Rhinolophus ferrumequinum: one gene and its partner. The protein of the gene in region 2 binds, or shares a complex with, the protein of the main gene of each other region. Links are inferred from orthologs where the notes say so. Each region holds a gene or a part of one and is shown on either strand. Other genes may lie near its edges.

Region 1 (4,085 bases), on a different chromosome or scaffold from region 2:
TTTGGGGCTGTCGGGGTCCGGAAGCATTCTGGCCCCTCCCTCAGGGACTCCCCACTCGGTCCAAATCGTTCAGCCTCCTCTCTTCGGCCCCATCACCCACTCTTGTCCCCTCCCCTCTTCCGCAGCCTCTCTGCTTAGCTCAGGGTAAACAGGCCCAGATGGGGCGGCTCCGGGTAGGTGGTGAAGACGGTCTGAGCCCCTCCAGCCGGCTGGCCGCAGTGCAGCCAGTGACAAGGACCCCTCTCCCCACCGGGGCAGCCAGGATGGAGGAAGAGGCTGGGACCTTTTTGGACTGCTCCCTTGGAGGCAGGTCTCTCACCCCACCAAATGGAGCTTTAAAGATGGGTCTGGAGCCTTCCTCCACGTACTGCTCTGACAACGAGGTGGACAAGGCATTTGGGAGGGGAGCAGAATGGCTTCTCTCCCAGGGAGAAATAAACTCTTCTTCCTGATGCCCTCACTCAGGCTCAGAGCACTTCCATCGTTGTCTTGCTTTGCTCCAACCACTGCGAGCACCCTGAAGGCAGGACTCCAGTTTTATTCCCACGCTTCTGGTTATTCACCAAGACTGTAGTCTGGGAATCCAGACTAAGTTACATAATCTTAGAAAAGTGACACCCCTCCATGCCTCAGTCTCCCATCTGCTAAATGGGCATAATAAACAGTGCTCGCCTCATAGGGTTGGCTGATCTGATACTGGGTAGGCCCTCAATGAAAGTGTTTAAATTAATAAATGAAAAGGCTGAGGAGGGGGTGGCCTCAGTCAAGTAGAAAGACGTGGGTATTAGAAGCAAGAACAGACCTCTAAGTTGTCTTGCTTTAATATGGATATTCTGTGAGATGGGCCAGGGACCCTCGCCCTTTGACAGGAATAGAGACTGGGGGAGACAATGACTAAAGGCTCAGACATGCTTCAATTGTTGACTGACTTCACTTCCTTTGCTGAAACCCTCCCCACTCCCAAACCGGCAGCTGCTTCACAACTTGTGAGCATGTGAATTCCAGAACCAAGACACGCCCAAATTTCAGTGTCAGGGCAGAACTATGTTCCTGCAGCCAATAGGAAGTACTATGGGATTACGGTATCTGCTCTTGCAGATTATAGCGGCCACTTGGCACTCTATTAGCTGGAGAACTGGGAGTGTGGCCGCGTGTCCATCTTCCATAGCCACTCTTTCCCCTGCCCTGCTATGGCTTCAGAGAAACCTCTCCTAGCCCGAGCCTATGGATCTCTATCCTGGGAGGTGGAAGTGTGGGCTTCCCCAAGGGAAGCATTCAGTTTGAGACACACATTGAGAACAGAAACATCGAGATGGAGAAGAGCTGAGAGTCCCCAAGAGAGTCAGTGGGGGTGGGGGGTTTTATCAGGGAAGGGTTCATGAAACAGATACAAGCAGAGTACAATTTGCAGGAGGAAGACAGAGCCCAATGGGGTACGGGCTGTATGTCAATGCTGGAGTCTCCCCCACCTCCCTGGCGTTGAGCCCTCTGGACCCTGACTGGTGGGTGCTCTTTGGAGAGTCTTGTGAACCCCATGCCTTCCACAGCACGCAGAGAACCTGGGGAAGGCATCAGAGGAGGGACGGAGTTGGAGAGCGCCGTGGAGACTGAGCCCAATGAGGAAAGGAAAAAGGAATTACAGACTGTGTCCAAGTCTACAAGAATTAATTACTCAAAAGGACCAGCTGTTCCCCATAATCAGTGAGGACAGAACAAGAGGAAACAGGCCCAAAGGACTAAGATTTAAATTTAGATATTCAGAAGAATTTCCCAGCAGTATGGAGCAGAGGCCTGGAGATCCTGGGAAGGTTGTGTGGGTGAAATCTCAAGGAAAGTCTCAGCTATGGACGGCAGATGACCGGGAGTCTGGCATAAAGGCAAGGGAATGGACCACTTGACTTTTCAGAATCAGCTATGAATACTGAGTTCAAGCATCGCTCTTGCCACTGCAGCCGGGCCAGTTTCATGGTTGTTTAGACACACAGGGCCCCTCCCCACACTTGGTTTAAGGCTCTGTTGTTGCCGTCTTGAAATTCTTAATAATGTTTGAACAAAGATTTCAGCGTTTTCATTTTGTACTGGGCCCCACAAATTATGTAGCTGGTTCTACACCAGGCTAAGTAGGAATTAAAAGGGAGGAAAATTAACTGAGTGTGAGCTGGGCTTTGCTTCCTTTAAATTGTAGACTGGGAGATTTAGATCAGACATCCTAGGGATTTTTCAAATGTGAGAGACATAAAAACAATAGAACAGGGACCTGAGGGGGAAGAAATGTCGGTTTCCTTTAGGAAAGAAGTGAGGCAGATACCTATGAATTCTGTTTTCCATCTATTCGACACAGAGGAGAGAGTCTCAGCTGTGTGGGCTGGGTGCAGCCAAATTTTGCCTGAAGGAAGAGGAAGTGACCTCTCTAGGTCTCCTGTAGCTCATGGCAGAAGGCGTCACGGTGTCCTGCATTCCAGGCCTGGATCGCCTCTCTGGGCCGATATACATTGAGGTATATACTTGTAGACCAGATATGCCCAAAGGTCCTTTCCAGCTTTATGAGATCTTTGTCTCTAAAGTTCGGGAAACTACCTGGTCTCAGGCCCTGTCACCACAGTTCAGGTAAAAAGGCAATTTGGCTAGTGTCAAGGTTTGGGGATGGTGGGGACAGCCCAGCACCTTAGGAAGAGGCTGGCAGACAGGGACCAGATTGTCCAAGCCAAGTCACCTGACTCTTCCTCTCCAGCTCCTCCAGGATGTCTCCTAGTTGGTTTCATCCGCTCCTGGTCCGCCCCTGAGCCCTCGGATGACTCATCTCAGGATGGAACCTCTGAAGGAAGGGCTGGCATGTCAGGGCAGGAGTCTGAGATTAGACGGTGCCCACACAATGCCTCCGGGGGGGTTGGCATTCAGCCTGGGCTCTGATGAGAAGCTGCTCCAGGACCGCCTCCTCCCCGGCTGTCCAGTGACCTCGGATTGTTCTTTTTCACAGGCCTCCTCGAGGCTCTGACTCTCTTCCACCAAACTGGCCCCACCAAAGGAGGAAGAGGAGAGGGAGTGGAAAGATCCCAAGCTTGGAGTTGGAGTCACTGTGTGTGAGCCTCAGCTCCCACACCTGTAAGAAAGCGCTGTTAATTCCTTTTCTGTCAATTCTCAGAATAAAAGCAATATGTCCGTGAGAGTCCTCTCTACCAGTTTAAAAAACCACACAGACGTCCAGTTTGTTTTGAGGGAGCTAGGCCAAGCTATGGGATAGCAGAGAGCATAAATTGGGGAGTCTGGAAACGGGAGGCTTGGTTGTGTGACCGGGGCCTCTATTTTCTTACCTACTCAAAAATGGGTGCTAAATGTTTCCTCTTCTACTAATACCTGGGGGATTGTTATACAGATGAATGTGTAGCTCCTGCAGAGGACTTTGAAGTATGAGGCAGCCATTCTAAAAAAAATTCAAGACATCCCTAATAAGCACGGGGTAAAATAAATAAATACAATTCTGCAGACAAGTTTATAACGAGAGGTAACTGTACCCACCCCCAGGCCCTTTTGCGGAGGCCAGACCCCTTCTCAAAGTTTCAGCTATTCATTTCTCTGACATTTATTTCGATAACTCTAAATAATATGTTTACAATGCTATAGCTAGGTTTTGTTCAGATTTATTGAGGTATAATTGACAAATAAAACTGTAGATAAAGTGTACTCATAATGATTTGATAAACATACATTGTGATAAGATTCCTCCCACCTCATTAACACATCCATCATCTCACATATTTATCTTTTTTTTGTGTGTGTGAGAACATTTAAATTCTACTCTCTTAGCTAACTTCAATTATACAATACATTATCAACTATAGTCACCATACATTTACATTAGATCTTCAGACTTTATTCATCTTATAGCTGAAAGTTTGTCCACGTTTACCAACCTCTCTATTTTCCTTACCCCCCAGTCCCTGGCAACCACATTTTTACTGTTTCTATGAGCCTGACTTTTTTTTTTTAGTTTCCACAGATAAGGGATAACATGCAGTATTTGCCTGTCTGCTATTTATAGATTTAAAAGCTTCAAAATTTAGGTCATTTAGATTCTCTCCCTCCTA
Region 2 (4,085 bases):
GGACAGATTTTTTCCCCCTCAAAGTCTTTATCTTTCTATGGCAATTCAAAATGTTGCTGTAAAATTTTGCACTTTGGGAGAAAAAAGAATCCAAAGACGACTATAAACCTTAGGGAGCCTAGAGAAAAAAGTGGAGATACTGTAGCTAATGTATTGGGGTAAATGCAGAAAATTTAACTCAGAAACTAAGAGAGTATTCTCGTGTACAAGTGTAAAGCCTTCTGCACACAGTGTCGGGGGCCCTGAGTCATCACACAGGGACTGCTCTGAGCACATCAGGGAGACACCAGTCCCACTGCCTCAGTGGCAAGAGCACCGCCCCCCTCTCCCAACCCAGTTGTCCACAGGACCATCCTGACTGCATCACGCTGCTACTACCACTAATTGGGGTGGAAAGTGAGATGAACTTGATGGTTTTTCCTAAACCAGACACACAGTTAATTCTACCATTGTTTTTCAGACTAAGGCCTCTGGCATTTTTTGTTTGCCTCATAATGTTGTACTCCAAGCTTTTACTGGAGCCATGAAATGATCAATTCGATTTAGCTATGAAGATAGATTTGGCAGAGAATTTGATCATCTTAATAATTCATTGCCTGGGTGAAGAACTTGCAAATTGTTGCTTGCCTCCTGACTGTGGACTCCCTGGGGAAAGGCTGGGCTGGGGCTTAGTTAGCCTTTCAGCGTCACTGCTCATGTCCCAGTTTAGGGGAATACTAGTTAAGAAGGCTGATTGTTTTCTTGTTCATGAAAGTCAGACTGCTTAGGTTCAAATGATGGCTCTATCGCTTTGTAGCTTTGTGACCTCTGACAAGCTGTTGAACCTTAGTGATCCGTATAGGCAGTGGGGCTAATAGTAAGGTTATTACATGGAACACGTTAGGTAGTATATATCAAGCACTTAGCACGATGCCTGTTTGTAGGAAAACACCCAATAAATTTTAGTTGCTTTTGTAATGAAGCACTCTCCGTATTTTTCAAAAGCTATTTCGGCCTAATCAAATCTCTACAAAAAAGGCTATTGACCACGAAGTTTACACTTTCCTATTGCTACAAAATGTAAGATTGTAAAAAAATATGTAAATTCATTTATATCCATTAACTTAACTTGGAGATGTTGGATATTTGATCTTTCTTCAGAAATTGTACGGGAGGAAGGAACCCCATCACTCAAATGAATACGTGTCGCCATTGATGTGTATTGTGTTGATTCTTAATATCTGTTATAGGCATGTGTGAAACCGAGTAGCGTAAAAGCAGAATTTAGGCATTCCTGCCAAAAGGAAGTGAATTGAAAGGAAGAAAAGCAGAGCCTTTGCAAGGAGAAAATTGTCCTATCTCTCAGCCAGTGTCAGAATGTGGAAATGTTTACAAAATGCTCATTAAAAGAAAAAGGGATTCGGAGATAGCAACAAAATCTAGTGCACAAGTTTACACTAGAGAGATAAGAAAGGCTAGGCCCCTATAGGGGATTTTGTTATCCAATTACTGCAACCTGACTTTTGGGGGAAGAGGAAGAATGGTAGGGGGCGGGAGAGAGAGGGGAAGGGTTTCCAAACTTGTCTCCAGTGACAGGAGACATTTACGCTCTGCAAGATAAAACTGCCACTTAGAGCCTTGGAGAGCTAAACCTTCCTGGGTTGGCCTGGGGGCTGGAGCAGAGTCATGGGTTCTCTGGCCCTGCAGCTGTGTGCTCTCCTCTGCCTGGTGGCTCACTCTGTTTCTGGTAGCCCCATCATGAGCCTGGAGCAGTCGCCTCTGGAAGAAGATATGCCCCTCTTCGATGATGTCTTCTCAGAGCAAGACGGTGTTGACTTTGACACACTGCTGCAGAGCATGAAGGATGAGTTTCTCAAGACATTGAACCTGTCTGACATCCCTATGCAGGATTCAGCCAAGGTGGACCCACCAGAGTACATGCTGGAACTCTACAACAAATTTGCAACAGACCGGACCTCTATGCCATCTGCCAACATCATTAGGAGTTTCAAGAATGAAGGTAAGTTTACATTTTACTGGTGAAATTTGGCTGGGATTTTTTTTTTTTCCAAGAAGGGATAAGTAAATTTACAATGTATGGGAGTAATGTAGACCATCAAGGTAAATACATTTATATGAGGGTGTGTGTAGACAGATACACAAAACAATGCACATTAGGGTCTATATCATTTTTATGCTTATTTTCCAAATTGTATTAAGAGGTATTAAAGGATATCTTTTAATCCAAAGCCATGATGAAGTGTGTACCATTTTGACATTGTAACTGAGTCTTTAAATTTTTAAAATTTGGACAGCAAGTAATACAAAAAACTTAATGTTGGTCTACTACTATACCTTTATATTTTTCAGTTTCCACGTGGCTTTTGATTGACAAAAAATTTTCAACTTTTACTTAAAATGAAAATACACACACACACAAAAAGAAAGTTGTGATTTGTGTTCTGCTGAAACTTTGGATGAGTTTCCATTTTGTGACCTTATTTAAGAACTGTTCAAACAGGAAGGAAACTTGTATTTTAGAGATTCTTCCTAAAGTTTTGCTGCATTTGATATGACTTGAAACACTGTTTATAGTTTCCAGGAAGTGTACATGGCCCAGTTAATTATCCAGCTTGTTTCTGTGTCTTATGAAGAGTAATGCACAAGCTTTAAATATCAGCGGGAAAAGTGTGTTTTTTTTTCCTCTCAGATCTTTATTCAGTGGCTAAAAACAACAACAAAAACCCATCTAATATCTATGGTAAAAGCTTTGGGTTCAGAAAAACTATTTCCCAATTATGCTTTTATAATCATTAACCAGGTACAAAAAAGGATTTCGATCGATATTGGCCAGATATTCTTAAACGAGTAAGGTAGTGGCAAAGAAATAGCTCAGGGTTTGGAATTTTGAGAGCAGGTTGACTTAGCAGTTGCAGGTAATTTCTCTGAACCTCAATTTCCTCATCTGTAAACTGGGGATAATATACTGTACACACAATTGAGCAATTTAAAAGAGGTTATGAGTAAGAAACGTTCCATTTGCTATGAAAAGTGGAACAAACATCAGTTATTACTAATGAATTGCCTACATTGTAGGCATTAGAGAAAATGGTGAGTAGGTATCGCTCAGTCCTACAGATACCATTCGCCTTAAAAATTTAGTTGACAATCAAAATATCTAATATTTAGTAACATATTGGCTATGTGCTTTAGTAACATAATGGAAATGGGAAGCTGGCATTACAGAGTCCTTTGGAGGTGGGTCTGAATAGAAAATGAACAGCCTCCTCCGTGTGGGAACCCTTCCTTCCTAACACTCTGAGCGCTGAGCTGAGCCCTAGTGCCTGGCTCAAGGTGAGTGGGAAAATTCTCACATTCCCTGGAAAAGAGGAGTTTTTCAGTTCCTACTTCTCCCTGGGAGGATTTGGATGCTCCAGGTCAGAAAGTGGGGTTTACAGAGTTACTAGAGATCAGCAAGGGCAGTAACATCTGTCTGTGGACAATCCAAGCCCCCCTCTCCCCCATGGGTGAAAATGCTCAGCCCCTCAGGACACAAATCCTGCACTGTTGGCTACTATTGTCTCTCTTAGGTTTGCTCAGTGCAGCCTCCTAGGAGTCAGACCAATAAAACAAAACAAACCCCCAAGCCCTCCAAACCTAGCTAATCAGAGGAAAACACTTGCCACTTCCAAGGTGGAAAAAGCATGACTTCTATTCCTACCACTGCTCTGCTGTCATCTGGGGGAAGTCAATTTTATGCGTTGAGGTTCAATTTCTTCTGGGGTAAAATGAACAGAGTAGCAATACCTGCATTGTAGGGACATTGTAAGAGCTAAATAAAACAACGTTTGCAGAGCACCTGGCACATGAAAGTTGTTCAGAAATGCATCTCCTCTGTCTATTAGCTACCACATTTGAACATGCACAGTGAACTTATTTTAAACAGCTTTATCAAAGTATAATTGACATACAATGAATTGCACATATTTATAGTGTGCGATTTAGGTTTTGACATATGTAAACAGCCACTGAAACCATACTAGAATCAGGATGGCGACCATATTCATCACCACCAAAAGTTGCCTTATACTCCTTTGGGATCCCTT

What was found.
Region 1: the proteins of BMP10 (region 2) and ACVRL1 are in contact, whole or in part, in a crystal structure (PDB 6SF1), measured with the Homo sapiens proteins. The link is inferred for Rhinolophus ferrumequinum from reciprocal best matches to the Homo sapiens genes BMP10 and ACVRL1. Residues at the interface, in NP_055297.1 of Homo sapiens: Tyr322, Asn357, Tyr358, Pro359, Ala361, Glu362, His363, Pro366, Thr367, Lys368, Ile371, Leu375, Leu378, Lys379, Ser381, Lys386; in NP_000011.2 of Homo sapiens: His40, Val54, Val56, Arg57, Glu58, Glu59, His66, Gly70, Asn71, Leu72, His73, Glu75, Leu76, Phe84, Val85, His87.

The regions. Positions count from the first base shown.
Region 1 is NC_046293.1:52,139,272-52,143,356, reverse strand, and holds the start of ACVRL1 (serine/threonine-protein kinase receptor R3), read right to left. Parts: upstream 3,051-4,085; 5' UTR 2,763-3,050; coding exon 2,714-2,762; intron 59-2,713; exon of another isoform or gene 1-58. UniProt on the Homo sapiens protein: Type I receptor for TGF-beta family ligands BMP9/GDF2 and BMP10 and important regulator of normal blood vessel development. On ligand binding, forms a receptor complex consisting of two type II and two type I transmembrane serine/threonine kinases.
Region 2 is NC_046296.1:21,838,246-21,842,330, forward strand, and holds the start of BMP10 (bone morphogenetic protein 10), read left to right. Parts: upstream 1-1,506; 5' UTR 1,507-1,665; coding exon 1,666-1,999; intron 2,000-4,085. UniProt on the Homo sapiens protein: Required for maintaining the proliferative activity of embryonic cardiomyocytes by preventing premature activation of the negative cell cycle regulator CDKN1C/p57KIP and maintaining the required expression levels of cardiogenic factors such as MEF2C and NKX2-5.